Arabidopsis thaliana: one gene and its partners. The main gene of each other region encodes a partner of the protein of the gene in region 3 in a complex. Each region holds a gene or a part of one and is shown on either strand. Other genes may lie near its edges.

Evidence for each region.
Region 1: AT1G23230 (region 3) and AT4G09070 share a complex: the UniProt entries of both Arabidopsis thaliana proteins name them as parts of the mediator complex.
Region 2: AT1G23230 (region 3) and AT5G02850 share a complex: the UniProt entries of both Arabidopsis thaliana proteins name them as parts of the mediator complex.

Annotation. Positions count from the first base shown.
Region 1 is NC_003075.7:5,799,122-5,804,341, forward strand, and holds AT4G09070 (TATA-binding related factor (TRF) of subunit 20 of Mediator complex), read left to right. Parts: upstream 1-3,186; coding exon 3,187-3,200; intron 3,201-3,299; coding exon 3,300-3,711; intron 3,712-4,037; coding exon 4,038-4,271; downstream 4,272-5,220. Other genes in the region: AT4G09060 (uncharacterized protein), read right to left, coding at 532-804, 893-1,132. UniProt on the Arabidopsis thaliana protein: Component of the Mediator complex, a coactivator involved in the regulated transcription of nearly all RNA polymerase II-dependent genes.
Region 2 is NC_003076.8:649,232-654,466, forward strand, and holds AT5G02850 (hydroxyproline-rich glycoprotein family protein), read left to right. Parts: upstream 1-2,816; 5' UTR 2,817-2,927; coding exon 2,928-4,208; 3' UTR 4,209-4,532; downstream 4,533-5,235. Other genes in the region: LCL1 (LHY/CCA1-like 1), read left to right, coding at 373-430, 524-647, 731-889, 999-1,124, 1,203-1,312, 1,630-1,689, 1,931-1,981; AT5G02860 (Pentatricopeptide repeat (PPR) superfamily protein), read left to right, coding at 4,871-5,235. UniProt on the Arabidopsis thaliana protein: Component of the Mediator complex, a coactivator involved in the regulated transcription of nearly all RNA polymerase II-dependent genes.
Region 3 is NC_003070.9:8,241,937-8,247,171, forward strand, and holds the start of AT1G23230 (mediator of RNA polymerase II transcription subunit), read left to right. Parts: upstream 1-2,503; 5' UTR 2,504-2,544; coding exon 2,545-2,652; intron 2,653-2,732; coding exon 2,733-2,776; intron 2,777-2,862; coding exon 2,863-2,962; intron 2,963-3,049; coding exon 3,050-3,988; intron 3,989-4,124; coding exon 4,125-4,367; intron 4,368-4,574; coding exon 4,575-4,844; intron 4,845-4,953; coding exon 4,954-5,155; intron 5,156-5,235. Other genes in the region: GH9B6 (glycosyl hydrolase 9B6), read left to right, coding at 1-193; AT1G23220 (Dynein light chain type 1 family protein), read left to right, coding at 678-908, 2,042-2,200. UniProt on the Arabidopsis thaliana protein: Component of the Mediator complex, a coactivator involved in the regulated transcription of nearly all RNA polymerase II-dependent genes.

The DNA of each region.
Region 1 (5,220 bases), on a different chromosome or scaffold from region 3:
ATGGAACAAGCAATCTCTGAAGCACATAGACAACCAAAAACTTATCAACTACCTTTATCCACCTCAGGCTATTGAAAACAACTAACAATAGAGGATATATGACAAACCCATTTGATATCCACCTCAAGTTATCACCTTCAGCGAGAAAAGCGATATGGAAGGACATTTTATATTTCATAGTACTAAGAGAAACTTAATGTGGACTAGCATAGTCTCTCTCTCAAGTGCATCATATCTACCATTCTATGACTTTTCTGCAAAGAGACTCAATGAGAAGTCAAACTTCATGAGAACTTAGATAAATCAAGTTGTCAACTTAACAAAGAAAACCAAATGATGGTACCCCATGTGCTAATTAAAGAGTAGAGAGAAGACAATAGCACTTGAGTAACCATTTCATCAAGAACAAGCTAACCAAACTATAAACCAGCAAGTGCAAAAAGCAAACTAATTTACTCGAGGGCAATGCAATTCTAAACCCAACTTAACCCAATTAAAGAAAATTTAGGGTTAATATGAAGAAACTCTTACTTCACCATCTCCGATTTGACGCTTAAATCTCTGCATTTCCTCAGACATTCTTCCAATTTCATCCTCCAATTCACGAACCCTAGCTTCTGCTTCTCTAGCTCTCTCATCAGATTCATTCCCAAACTCCATCAACGCATCACGATCTTGATGATAAAGCAAACACTCTTTCTCCAATTTCTTACACTGACTCAACAAATTCCCACACTCACTAGCCAATTTCTGATTCTCTTCAACAAACTTCTTCAACGCTTGCGCATTCATACTCGCTTCAGACTTATAAAAAAAAAAAAAAAAAAAAAGATTCAGATTCAAATCAATCAAATCCCAGAAAACGAAAGATACCCAGAAAGAAATTACTAACCCTAACACGATCGATTACATGATCTTTCTCCTTTAATCGCGAAATCAGACCCTGATACTGTTCGCGAAGACGGCGTTGAGATTCTTCAGCCGTATAAAGCTTCTTCTGAAGAGATTCCATGGAGATCGGAAGACCTAAAGAATGATCAATTGTATCTTTGATATATTCTTCGACTTCTTGCGAGAGATTTGTTCTCGATTTTGTTTCTGCTTCATCTGAATCAATTCTCTCGCTCCGCATGGTTTACTCTTGAAACAAGATTTGGATTTCAAGAAGAGAATTTAGGGTTTCAATAGGAAGAAGAAGAAAGGGGAATTAGTAAAAGAGACGGAAGAGAAGAATTTCAAAAATGAAATCAGAAGTTTGTAGCCGTTACAAAAGTTATTGCATCGATCGATTCGTGCCTACGTGGCATGTTTTAAGTGGCGGAAATATTTGGCTCCTAATGCAATTTTTTGGTTATGGTTTTTGGGATCCGGTTTGGTTTATTTTGTCGGTTTTACTTGTGGAAAACTTTTTTTTTTCTCTGTTCGGTTTGACACAATTCGGTTTTTGTTCGAGTTGGTTTTTTATTTCGGTTTTGTTTTTGTTTAAAAACGTATTTTAAATATCAACAAAAAGTGATTACCTAAAATTACAATTTAATGTCATTATATCAAACAAATAATTATCAACTAAGTAATTATTTTTCCTCTATTTTCAGCTCAATTTTTTTTATTGGTTTATTTTTATTTTTTCATCTTGACTAGTATTAAGCAAAAGCGTATCATTCAATTATATAATTGTATCAATTTCCAATTTATTTCTATATAAATTTTTCATTTTTTGAGTGTACTAGGATAAAAAAAAATTATATCATTGGGTGGAATGAAACCTTAATGTTTCATGACTATGCATAAAAAATGAACGAAAGATGAGAAGAAACATGAATCAAACCTTTATTTTTATTTAGATGATTAGATGAGATATATACATTAGGAATTTTGATTCGTTCAGTTAATTTTGTTCAGTTTCATAAAATTTAAATTTGATTTAAGGTTCAGTTCCAATAATTCTATTTATAAGATTTTAAACTATTAGTATTATTCGAATTTGGATAAGTTCGGTTAGATTCATTCATGTTTTCACCACTCATTTCCTAAGAAAACCTTTTTAAAAACAAGGTCATTTTAAGAAACACATAATTTTACACGAAGTCGTTTTAAATGAGGTAGTTTAAACGAGGTCGTTTTATCTTAGTAAAACAAACAAACTCCTATGCTTTTCTCTATATAATGCAGTGTACGAGTCTTAATTTTTCGTTATACTACGTATTCCCAAGAAGATCATCACCAGAAATCTCTTTCATCGGTAAGTGTTTCTCGCAATCTAATCTTGTATTTTGTTTTTATGGCTCGATGATTATTAAGCCTAAAAGTCTTTACTATGCCTTCAACTCATCTTTTTAAAATGATTTAGATAAGATAAAGATAAAAAGCATCGTTTTATAAACTAAATATACTTAGAAGCAGAATTGAGTTGTTTATCCGAGATGTATGAATTTTATATTTAGATTGTATTCAAGAAGTGATATATTTCATATTTGATTCGTTTAGTTAATCTGTTGTCGATCTACTACTATCACAGAACGTGTGATCCCAAACGGATACTCATAGCAGATCTAATGAATTTCTTTAGTTTTTGTAAAAAAATGTTTCTTATTTTTCAATTAATTTTGGTAAATAATTTAATTATAACATTAATTTCTTAGATTTGTTTCCTTTTTATTTAAAGTCAAAAGTTACTTTATTTTTTTCTTATAAGAATTTATATTTTCTTCCCTTTTATCTTGATAAGGGTGAGTACACTTATGTAATTGTGCACATGCACTAAAATATCTAATTATTCTCTATGTTATAATTATTTATTAAAAAATGAAATTTGTATTATGATTCCAAAGTTGATGCATATGTATTATTTTTGGTCTGTAAATTACTTTTAAAAATAAATTTTCCTTTCCATATAGACCACGTTCTATTTCAAATGAAAGAAATGATTAAAAAAATGAACTCCATTTGAGCATTTAAATGTATTTTCCTTATGAACACTGATTGAAATTCTATCAAAAAGTATTTTTTGATTAAATAATTTTTTGCTTTATTGTAAAGTTTTATCATTTTGTTTTTTGGTAAATTATATATCTGAATACAACTATATTATATAAGATATTATTGTTTGTGTATTATTGTAAATTAATAGAGATCATTTTTTTTTAATTTTGTTGTCAAGTGAAATTTGTTGTACCTCCATTAGCCATGCCCGTCAAATGGTAGGTTTGATGATTACATAAACTAAATAACCATTATTGTAATTTCTTTTATAATACGTTAACCTTTTTTCAAATTTCTTTGGGGGAATACTTTTCCAGGCTTTTGCATTGGCAACCAAATCAGGGATCAACATTTAGCAGCCAAATCCTAAACGAAGTAACACAAAGCATAGAGAGTCTCAATGGCGTCAAAGAGGGAACATGGAAAGCCACTCTCAACTATTACAAACCCATGTTGCAAGATCAGGCGAATCAAGCTGAGTTCCCGCGTGAATTTGTAGGAATTTCGCTTCCGGAGGAGCCAGATAAGTACTATTTCGTCATCAGGTCGCAAAGGATCGTCGTGGAAGCAGATTCTTCAATTCAAATGATCATGGAGAGCCTTCAGTCTTACAAATGCAAACTCTCGTTTTACTTTGAAGGGCTTGAGTATCAACTTGGGGATTTTCGTTTGAGAGTTGGTAAAGTTGTTCCTACTCATGCTGAGACCATTAGAGGCGTAGTCATGGAGGTAACAAATTTTATATCTTTTGAGTACGTTGAGATATATTAATAATCAATGTTAATGATTATCTAACACTCTAGTTAATTCATAATTTGGAGTTTGTAATGTAACTCAGTAACTAAAGGTTATTAGCTATGATTGGTAACACACATAATGACGGTTTCTAATGTGATTAGGCAGAAAATTTGTCAATTAAGAAAATTTGCATAATCTACGGTTTTCCATGCAACAAGTTTTCATTATACGAATTTTTAGTGCTATCAACTTATGCCATTATGCTATTATGCACTACTTTCATTTGAAACCTATAATTATGTGTGTGTACTATTTAGGTGGAGTATCTTCCTATATCATCAATGGGAATGGCAAAAAAATTGATGGAGGAGTTCTTGGAGATATGGCAAGAAGCTATGTCGAAAAGGTCGTTGCCGGGTAAGTTTGTGAACAAAGAACTCAACTTTGAAAAGTTTGGACTTGGAGACAACTACACTCCGCAACATACCGCTGTTGGATATGCTTTCTTCATGGCTAATTTGATGGCAGCAATTCAAGCTGGGAGAGGCTAAAGATAATACAACAAAGACTTTTATGAGTTTTTGTGGTATCATTGATTTTAGAAGTCATTAAGGATTGAAAAACAAATGGTAGTTTTAAAAAGTTGGAAGACCAATTTGTAAACTTGAGATTGGAGCAGATTGTGAATTCAGTTTCTTACCAACTTTTTGGTTTGTTTTATGACTGTGAAAACTTTATGAATCTTTTGACCCTAAACTCAATTACTGGTCACTTGTGTCTATAAAATGCATAAATAAAGCGAAAATGTTGGATTACGATTGGGCTTAGTGTTAGTTATTTGGGTCAGTCATTGAGTTGGGCTTAAGGCCCATAAATGAGAAGAATCCCAAATGCAGAATCAAAACGCAAAGAAGTTTTGGCGGTTGCGATTGCATGTTTTCTTCCAAACAGAGCTTACCGGTAGTAACAAACAATATAGAGAGAAAGAAGTGTGAGAGCTACAAGTTTGAAGAAATCGAGTAGAGAGAGAGACAGATCTAGATTCTTCTTCTTCTTCGTCTTCTTCGTCAACCTCTAGAAGACTCGTGTAGGTACGTAGCTTTGAATCTCTTCTTCTGTAACCTGAAATTTTGTTAATTCCTCTTGAGAGTGAAGCATTATCGAGTTTGATCTTCGAGAAATTGTACATAAATCGCTTGTTTCTCTCGTGTTCTTTCTTTGTACTGATTTCAAAACTTGAATCGCAAAGAACAAGCGATAAGATCAAAATCAACTACCAAAATCACTACAGAGAGCTATTTTTCTTTGGATTTTGGTTTTAAACATGTGTTTGATTACGATTCCAGACTGAAATTTGTATCTGAGTCAGTGGATTTTTTGGTGTTGCCTTGTTGATTCGTTCACGTTGTAGTAGTAGATTTCAGAATTTTGCTTTCGTTGCTTTGAGTTTAGCTTAGGATTTGGCTTTTAACAGAGTTTCTATTTGAGTAGAATTGTAAA
Region 2 (5,235 bases), on a different chromosome or scaffold from region 3:
AATTTATATTAATCGCTGATGAATGTTTCTTCTCATAAAACCGAAGTATGGTTTAAGCTTATCTTAGGTTGCCAAAATGATTGAGTAGAGGACTTGGCATCTGGTTTCTGCATAAATAGTGGTATTTTGCAGAAGTCGTATCTTTCTTTATTAAAAATGTTTAACATGAGAACTGAAAAAACTTACTACAAGTCAGCTTTTAGAGCTATGCATGAAACCAATTTCCAACTACAGTCCTAAACTACAATTCAGATTTTGGTAATGGTTCGTTACTTCCACATATTACATTGCTCTTTTGTGTGTGTGAAAGGCTTCTCTCTCTTTTAGAAAAAAGAATCTTACTTTGTCCTGACAATTTTCTCGTGTCCTTAGGTTTGATCGTGACTGGAAAAAGATAGAAGATTTTGTTGGTTCAAAGACAGTTATTCAGGTTTGAGATCAGCTTCTTTGGATTTTTGGTTTAATATACAACCTTGGCACATTTCCCCACTCAATCATCCTGTGCCTGTTTGATTTACTGCAGATCAGGAGCCATGCCCAAAAATACTTTCTAAAGGTCCAAAAAAATGGGACTTTAGCACATGTTCCACCCCCTAGGCCTAAGCGCAAAGCTGCTCATCCATATCCTCAAAAGGCATCGAAAAATGGTTAGTTCTATTGTAATAGATATTACTTTGGGTTGACAGATGGAGTAACATGTAATCAATCTGATTTCAACTCAAATCTGCAGCTCAAATGTCGCTTCACGTTTCCATGTCCTTTCCTACTCAAATAAATAACCTGCCTGGATATACTCCATGGGATGATGATACATCTGCATTGTTAAACATTGCTGTAAGTGGGGTTATTCCACCAGAAGATGAACTTGATACTCTTTGTGGAGCAGAAGGCATGCGTTCTCATCTGTACTCAGTTTTTATATTTTGCTTTGGTAGTCTAGTCACTCTATCTTCTGAAGTTTTCATATGCTAAATGCGGCTTACATATCATTGTTTCAGTTGATGTTGGATCAAATGACATGATAAGTGAAACTAGTCCTTCAGCATCTGGTATCGGAAGCTCAAGCAGAACACTATCAGATTCTAAGGGTTTGAGACTGGCGAAACAAGCTCCCTCAATGCATGGTAATTATCTGAACAATTGAGGGACTATTTCTTAGTTTTCATTTTGTGGTGGACGCTGTTGTAATGGTTGCTTTGCAGGTCTTCCTGATTTTGCTGAGGTTTATAACTTCATTGGGAGTGTGTTCGATCCTGACAGCAAAGGCCGCATGAAAAAGCTCAAGGAAATGGATCCTATAAATTTCGAAACTGTGAGTTGGAGCTTTACTTGCCTTTAGATTAACTGATATGTGTGTTGCAGCATATCAATCATTTAGTCTTCTTCTTTGAGTTCCCGAATAAATTCAGCTGTGTGAGAAGATAAATATAAAGATCAGTACTTGCAATATATAGATTCACGAGTTGGAAACACCAAAAAGCCAAAGTACCATGATTCTATGGAGATGTTGGTCAAATAATGGGATTGTTACAACCATGAGTCAGTTTTAGGTGTCATGGTACCTATTTGTAGCTGTCAGTGATTGTTCTTTTTCCTAGTATCCGTCACTAATCACAGTTTTTCTTGCAGGTTTTGCTGTTGATGAGAAACCTCACAGTGAACTTGTCAAACCCTGACTTTGAACCTACTGTAAGTTATAATTTTATCATTACTTCTGTGCTCGTTGAGTATGTGAGGCACATTTGTCTTTTCGTGATAAGAATGAGTGAGAAAAAGTCTCTAACAGCTAACAAACCTACTTACTATCTGCCTTGAAGTTTAACTATAGAAATTAAGACTAGTTCGCCTTTAGTGTGTTATGTTTTTAACCGTTCCAATGATTAAATGAGGATTGTTGTGCTCTATGAGATATAATCTAACCATAATTTAGTCTGAATATGTTGATGCTGCAGAGGAAGGTCATGAACACTTAAGCTCTTAGCTGTTTGTGCACTCAACAAGTTATATATCTTCTTGACGACTTCTTGCTCGCAACAACTCTCTACCAGCTATCAAGTAAGTTTGGTGTTATACCGCATCCCTCCGACACCAATATAAAACACTATAATAAGAACGTTCGCATTGACTTAATAGATTATATCGAAACCTAACACCACAGTTCACTAAGGTTTTCACCTTAATGTTTCTCATTTGTTACTGTAGTTATTGTCTCACATGATCGAACGTCATAATAAGAATGATCTGTAGATCATAACTGTTATATTCTCAGCGTTGCTGCTATTATTCTGATTACACTACCCTTAAGGTCTTAAGAATATTGCTCTTACGGTCTACCAAATTGCTATTGATCTCTGTATATGGTGGATTGTGTCAGATGCATTCTACGGTTGTTGTCTGAGGAGAACATAACTGAGTCGTCGTCACAAACAAGAGGAACATATGCAGTTTCGGTCAGAACCAGTCGTGTGAATGGTAGATATATGTATGTGTGTGTAGAAAATGGTTACCAATTGTATCTTCTTTTTGATAATTATTTTTTCATGCCTTTTGTAATATGTAAGTTTCTTTACCTCGTTCTCTGATTGGTTATTTTCTGGTTATCTGTTTAACCAAAAGCTATGTAACACAGTAGCAAATTGTTACTTAACTCGGAAGTGAGATACATAACTCTGTTGTATTGCACTTGTATCAAGCGTTAACGTCCATGATTCGTCTCTGTTATTGTCAATAACAATTGTTCGAAAGCCAGGTTAATGGTAATTAGGAAATTGAACCGTATCGGTATGGTTTTAGCGGGTCTTTAGACTTTTCTAATTGATACTGAGGGTTTGCGAATTTTGTATAAACAGTTGAACACTAAACAGAGAAGAGAAGCTTCGTCTCTTTAATTATCTTCGATTTAAGAGATTCTTTCGCCGTCGGCGAAGATGCTACAGCATCAGATCGTACAATCTCCGGCGAGATTAGGGTTAACAGGTCCTGGCTCTCCTTCCGTACAAAATCCGACGCCTACTCGTCATGGCCATCCAACCTCTTCTTCATCTTCCCAATCTCAGCACCAACAGATCCAACAACAGCCTAATCTACTTCCTTCCTCCACCGTCGCCGCCGCTTCCTCAGCCTCAGCTTCGGCGGCTGTTTCATCCTCCGCCTTGCTATCGCTCCTTCCTCCATTACCGCGAGCTCAAGCTCTTCTCCAGCAGATGGCGGTTTTGACATCTAAGCTCTTCGACGTCTCTCCCAATCGAGCTATCTGGCTCTCAGCTTTCCGTGGCTCTCTCCCTTCGTTCCTCTCCTCACACTCGTTACCACCTCCGCCGCCGCTTGAAAACCCTAGTCCTTCATCCACGAAGGAGATCCTCTCTCAATTCAATTCCCTCCAGACTCAGCTCTTCGAAGCCGTTACAGAGCTTCAAGAGATCCTCGATCTGCAAGACGCGAAGCAGAAGGTGGCGCGTGAGATCAAATCCAAAGATTCATCTCTTCTCGCTTTCGCTAACAAACTCAAGGATGCAGAACGTGTTCTCGATATGCTTGTTGACGACTACTCCGATTACCGCAAACCAAAACGAAGCAAAATTGAAGAAGATGACGAAGACAATGATAATGAGTCTTCTTCTTCTTCAACCACAGTTTCGTCTCAGCTCAAGTTAAAGGACATATTAGCTTACGCTCACAAGATTAGCTACACCACATTTGCTCCGCCGGAATTCGGTGCAGGGCAAGCACCTCTCCGTGGTGCATTACCACCAGCTCCACAAGACGAACAAATGAGAGCTTCCCAGCTCTACACTTTCGCTGATCTTGATATCGGTCTGCCGAAAACAGTAGAAAACATGGAGAAGAAGGTTGAAGCACTGATTGAGCCACCACCACCACCAGAAGCTATGGATATATCTGCTATTCACAACCTGCTTCCGCCGAATATCGCAGTTCCTTCAGGATGGAAACCAGGAATGCCAGTCGAATTGCCTAGAGATTTACCATTGCCACCTCCTGGATGGAAACCAGGCGACCCAGTTGTGTTACCGCCACTGGAGTCAATTGCTGCACCTAGAGCAGAGGATCATCAACATATGAGACCTTCTCAGGGACTCCACAGACCGCCTGATGTCATACAGGTCCGAGCTGTTCAACTTGACATTTTGGAGGATGATGATAGCAGTGATTACAGCAGCGATGATGCAAGCTCAGATGATGAGGATTAATCAACATTGTGATTGATGGTTCTCTGTAAGGTAATGATTTGACCAATGTTACTGCTAATTCTTGATCAAGTTTGATTTTCTACTTGGTTTCGTTTTGTTTAGCAGTGCCTTTATGTGGATAGATGTTAGTATATGCTTCATCGTTATCAGTATCTTTGATGTATCAAAGTTGTTTCTTACGAAAACCCTGGATTCTAATTCAGTTTACAGAATTATTGGTTATCTTTTTTCCAGAATCATTCTTTAGCTTCAAATTTCAAATTATTAGTAAAATTCAGAATGTTCAACTATTGGAGTTATGCAACTTGACATTTTGGATCGATCTCTCTATACGACAAAGTAAAATCCCTCTTAGGTCATACATACATATCAGAGGCTCTTTCTGCCCATTTCTTTATTGTACAGTTTATTGTTCCATTTGGGCTTCTAATAATATAATGGGTTGACAAAATAAGTAGTAGCCCATTTAGATCTAACCTGTTGAATCTGGACTAGCCACGTGGTCGAATATAATTGTAGGGAAATAAAACTAAAATTGTGTTCTTGGAACAAAAAAATATAATAAAAAAAATCTGACAAAAATATCCATTCATTTCTCTTCTTCTTTCACTCTCGGTTGCCTCCTGGTTCTTTTCTAGTTTCTACTACTACTACTACCTCTAATGGCGGACAAGCTAGCTCTTCCTCTTCTCCTTCCCTGCACTCCTTCCTCTAAACCTTATTCTCACGACCAAAACCACCATATCTCTCGGACGCCTTTTCTTACTACGTCTCTTTCGTCACCACCTCCTCCGCCTGTAGAGCCTCTCCTCCACGATGTTTTCCTTCACCAGAACCCTAATTCCAGACAACCCATCAGCTCTCAAACATCTAGAAACCGTAACCGGACTCGAATTGGCAAGTCACGTGACCCTAACCTCGGTAAACCTTGGTCTTACCATGGTCTTTCTCCACAAGGTCAGCAAGTTCTTCGTTCCCTCATCGAACCCAATTTTGATTCCGGTCAATTAGATTCTGTACTCTCTGA
Region 3 (5,235 bases):
GTGCAAAGACGGATCTCGTTATTTCTTCAGCAATAATCCTAATCCTAATTTGCTAATTGGCGCCGTCGTTGGTGGGCCTAATATCACCGACGATTTTCCTGATTCGAGACCTTACTTTCAGCTGACTGAGCCCACTACTTATATCAACGCACCTCTTTTGGGCCTACTTGGTTATTTCTCGGCCCATTATTGATTTCACACCTCGAACTCGAACGAAGCATGAAAGTCTATTTTTGTTGTGAAACATTTTTAGTTGATTGTTACCGATTAGTAGATTCACTAGATTCTCTAAATCTACGAACAAATAATTGTATAAATTAATCGAGTACACAATAATCAATTTTTAATCATATGGGAGTTAGGAAAAACAAAGAGTAATAATGAGAGAAAGGGGGAGACAAGAGTAATTAATATTTTGATGACCAAACTAATCAAAAATCAGGAATTTGTCTTTTGGACTTTGGTCGGCTGCTTTACGCTTAACACAAAAGAACGCTATTTTGTCTCCTCCACGCAATTACCTCTTCTCACTCTCAGACATTTTGTCAAACAGATGGTGCTCGTTTCTGAATCAGCTTAAGAACTAACAAGGAGACAGACACTAAGCTTGGTTTTTCTCTCCGATTAGACGGAGGAAAAAGTGAAAACGAGGGGCTTAGACGAGTGATGTGATAGAGATGGAAGGAGTTGAGCTAGAATTAGAAAGAAGAAGCAAGTTCTTGAACAGTTTGATACAGAAGAAGAAGGCTAAAGAACAGCAAGATCAGAAAGATGAGTTCAATGTTCGTGTTAGGGCTTCAGATATGCCTTTGCCTCAACAGAACAGAGCCTTTAGTTTGTCGCGTGAGATTTTGAATGCTACTCCAGGGAAGGCTGATAACAAAAGACTCGCTCATGCCCTAAAAAAGGTTAGATCTTTTGTATCTCTCTCATGATTTTTCTGTATTTGGGTTGAATTGGAGTCATTGAAGTCTAGTACTTGGATTGAGTTTTGAATTTTGACACAGAATCTAAAAGTATTGAGCTGCTTTTGGGTTCTAGGGCTACGTCTCAAAGTCGCATGCTTTTTGTAGAATGTGGTTATGGTCTTCTCTTTCTTGATTGGTTTGAAGATGTGATGAATCTTGAATTTGGATTTTCGTTTGTGTACTTGCATATTGTTGAACTTCATGGATGGTCCCATATTTGTTAGGTTGCATTTGACTTTGTTCCATTGTTGTTGTCTTTTCTATTTGTAGCTTCGGTTAGTCTACTTGACTAGGTTGTTTTTGTATTGCGAGGATAACTGTAGTAGGAGTCTCGTTGTGAAATGTCTTGAAACTGGATGTTCTTGTTGTTTATTGAGATGATTTTGGAGCTGTCTTAGGCCATAACTAATGAGGCATAGCATGCACCATCTGCTAAGCTTCTGTATCTTTGCTGTTAGAAATTAGTTGCTACCTAATGATAACTCTGAAGCATGCTTGCTTTAGGAAGTGAGCCTTGCCTGAATACAACCTTTTACAAAGGACTTGGTTCGACACCCCATATATAGAGTTGTCCATTTATGCAGTTGTTTCTCGTGAGGATATTGTTCCTTCTTAAAGCGGCTTTGATAATTAGCTTTTGATTTTAACTTATGGAGCGAAATGGAGCAGTTCCCTCAATTTATGCGACTAGGTAGAGGCATTGATTGATCCATACATTGATTTTATGAAGTGGTTGAGTAAAACAATTTAGTGTTCACTTATCTGTGTGCAGCTTACTTGTTTGTCTCAGTGTTCATCAATCTCTTAATAATGGCTACCTCCCTTTGGCTTTTAGGATTGACATACGAGTCAATTTCTGCTGTTGTCTTGTTTTATCTTCTTGTTCTGGTAATATAGATCTCTTATCTCGAAATAGATCTTCATATGTTTCTTGTCTCTATGTTTTCTCCTAAATCCAGCTTCTATGTTATCCACTGAAGTGAATCTTAGACTCCCATCTGTCTAATGACATGTTGCAGCTGATTTAAAACTATATATTCACGAAACAGTTTTCCATCTGTCTTCCATTTCAGGACTTCGATTCAGCCTACGGCCCGGCATGGCACTGCATTGTTGGAACAAGCTTTGGTTCATACGTGACTCATTCCACAGGAGGATTCCTATATTTTCAGATCGACAAAGTTTACGTTCTTCTCTTCAAGACTGCCGTGGAGCCGTTAGATCAAAAATGAGATAAAACGTTGATGATCAGAGCATCTTCAATTTAATCCTTTTCTTTTAGAATTCTCTGTCTTGTATCCCACAATGTAATTCTGCCTAAGACAAAATCTTTGTGGCTCCTATTGTGTAATTAGAAGTCATCTTCTCTACTGTGAATCGTTTCAACTTCACAATGCAAAATATTGTTCTTCTCTTTCTCAAATTCTAATTTTGTTTTTTTCGTTGTTGTGTTGTTGTTGTTGTTGACATTTTCTTCTCTTCAAAAGAGCTTTAAACCCAAAACCTCTAATACCAATTTTGCTCCTCCGTTTTATAAGCATCAAAGAAAAAAAGAATCAGTGAAGAAGAAAAAAAAATGGATCAATCGCAGCGAACAGTCGCTGCAACGCCATCGTCTTCTCGATCGTACCAATTCCACCCAGCTCGTGCTGCAATTATCGATCTTTTCAATCTCTACTTAGGGGTTGGTTAATCTCTTCTCCAATCTCCCAATTTTTTTCATCGAATTTTGTTTCTCTGCTGATTTTGCTTTCTCTATCACAGAGAGGAAGCCGTCAAAAGCCTGATGAGTCCCTCCGAGATCCCCCGTATGTTGTTTCTATTGATTCTGAATCAACTCTTGTTTTCTCTTCCTTCTGTGTTTGATTTTATCCATGTTGATTGTTTTGATCAGGAACAAATCACAGAAGCGTGTTCATGCTCCTAATAGAGACTTACCACCAAGAAACGAGCAATTCCTTTTGGATTTTGAGCTGCTTCAGAGCCAATTCAATGTAAAGTCTCGTTTTTTAACTATCTTTATCTTTCTCTTTGTGATTTCGTAAGATAAAGTTTTTTTTTTTTTTCCAACTCTTTGTTAGGATCCAGAGCAATTGAGGACGATTACTGAGTCAGTTTTGATATCTCTGGTGGTGCAATGTAGCAATCATGCGCCTCGTGCTGAGTTTCTACTCTTTGCTTTGCGTACATTGTGTAGGATTAGTTATATCAATTGGGATACTTTTTTACCATCCCTTCTCTCTTCCGTTTCCGCTGCTGAGGCGTCGTTAAGCCAAGGTGTTCAAGCAGCAGCGGCAACGGCTGGTTCTTCTGCTACTTCTTCGCAGTCTGTAGTTCCTGTGTCTGTGAATCCAACGTCATTGCTGCCTTCAGCTCATGGTATTGGTTCTCCATCAGCTTCAGAGGTGAAATCTGTGGAGAATGGGCAGCAGATTGCAAGAGCTGGCCAGATTGTAAGAGAGAATGCTATGAGAAATAGTCAACGGATTAGAGCTGCTGCTGTAAACAGTCTGCGTCAGCTCAGTTGCAAGATTATCTTGATTGGCGTTGAATCTAGTCTCAAACCCGTTACTCATGCCGAGATTTTCCAGTACATGATGAATTGGCTTGTTAACTGGGACAGGAGAGATCTGGGAACTGAGGACTCTGTAGGAAAGTCGTGGAGATCTGAGAAGACTTTAGCTGAATGGTTGCGGAGTTGTTTGGATGTGATCTGGCTGTTGGTAGAAGAGGGTGAATCTCGAATTCCGTTTTATGAGTTATTGCGCAGTGGTCTACAGTTTATAGAGAACATACCTGATGATGAAGCCTTGTTCACTCTTATCATGGAGATACACCGGAGGCGAGATGCGATGGCCATGCATATGCTCATGTTGGACCAACATCTTCACTGTCCATCATTTGGTACCCATCGTATAGTCTCCCAAATAACTGCCAATGTTCCACCCGAAGCTGTGCCACACTTACGACATTCACCAATTACATATCCAAGTGTGCTTGGGGAACCTTTATATGGAGAGGTGATTCCTATGAAATTGTGGAGATTGGTTTCATAGCTTAGTTGGCTCTTGTTGATATTGTGTAATGTATACGCTTTTCATTAGGCAGACAATTTGTGAATTTCAATCCTCTCTTCTTCTTTTTCGACACCGGCAGGATCTGGCGATGTCTATTCCAAAAGGAAGCCTGGATTGGGAGAGAGCAGTGCGTTGCATTAGACATGCTATTCGCACTACACCGTCACCGGACTGGTGGAAGCGTGTTCTTGTTGTGGCCCCTTGTTATAGACCATCTACACAAGCAGGGCCTATCCCTGGTGCTGTATTCACTTCTGACATGATTTGTGAGGCAATCATTGACAGAATTGTTGAGCTTCTTAAGCTGACCAACTCAGGCAATGTTTGTCTTTCCCTATTTCTCATGTCTTTGATCTGTCACTTCCATTTAAATCTGTGGAAATTATTTTGAAATAGCAAGTGGTTTTGCTAGTCGTCACAATCTGTAAAGAACCTACATCCTTTACGTTTTATTCTAGTTCTATAATCGTTGATTCGTTAGGCTTAGATAGAAAAGATAAAAGTAAGAGTTGAGATACCATTATACTAGGATTGCTTTGGTATTGATTTGGTATCTGTTACTTTTCCCCCTCTCTATGCAGATGCAAATTGCTGGCAAGAGTGGCTGGTTTTCTCGGATATATTCTTCTTTCTAATCAAAAGTGGGTGTACTGATTTTGTTGATTTCATTGACAAGTTGGTTTTACGCCTTAACGGTGTTGATAACCATATTCTTCGGACGAATCATGTGACTTGGCTGCTTGCACAAATAATACGCGTGGAGCTTGTGATGACTGCTTTGAACTCAGATGCTAAAAAGGTCGTTACTCAATTACAATGATATGTTTGCAGCTGCAATGCAATTACTTGTACTTCTTTTTCGGCGAATTTAACATCCCAATTTGTGCTCTATTTGGGTTTTCTCTCAGGTGGAGACTACTAGGAAGATCTTATCATTTCACAGGGAAGACAGAAATTCTGATCCCAACAATCCTCAGAGTGTGTTGCTTGACTTCGTAAGCAGTTGTCAGAATCTACGGATTTGGTCACTAAGCACAACAACTAGGGCATACCTAAACAATGAACAGCTGTTGAAGGGAAAACAGATCGATGAGTGGTGGAGAAGCAAAGGTACATAAGGTTTCAATGGCAGGGCTTAGACTAGGAAGCAGAGAATCCCGATTATAAAAAGCATCCTCTCATTCTGTTTC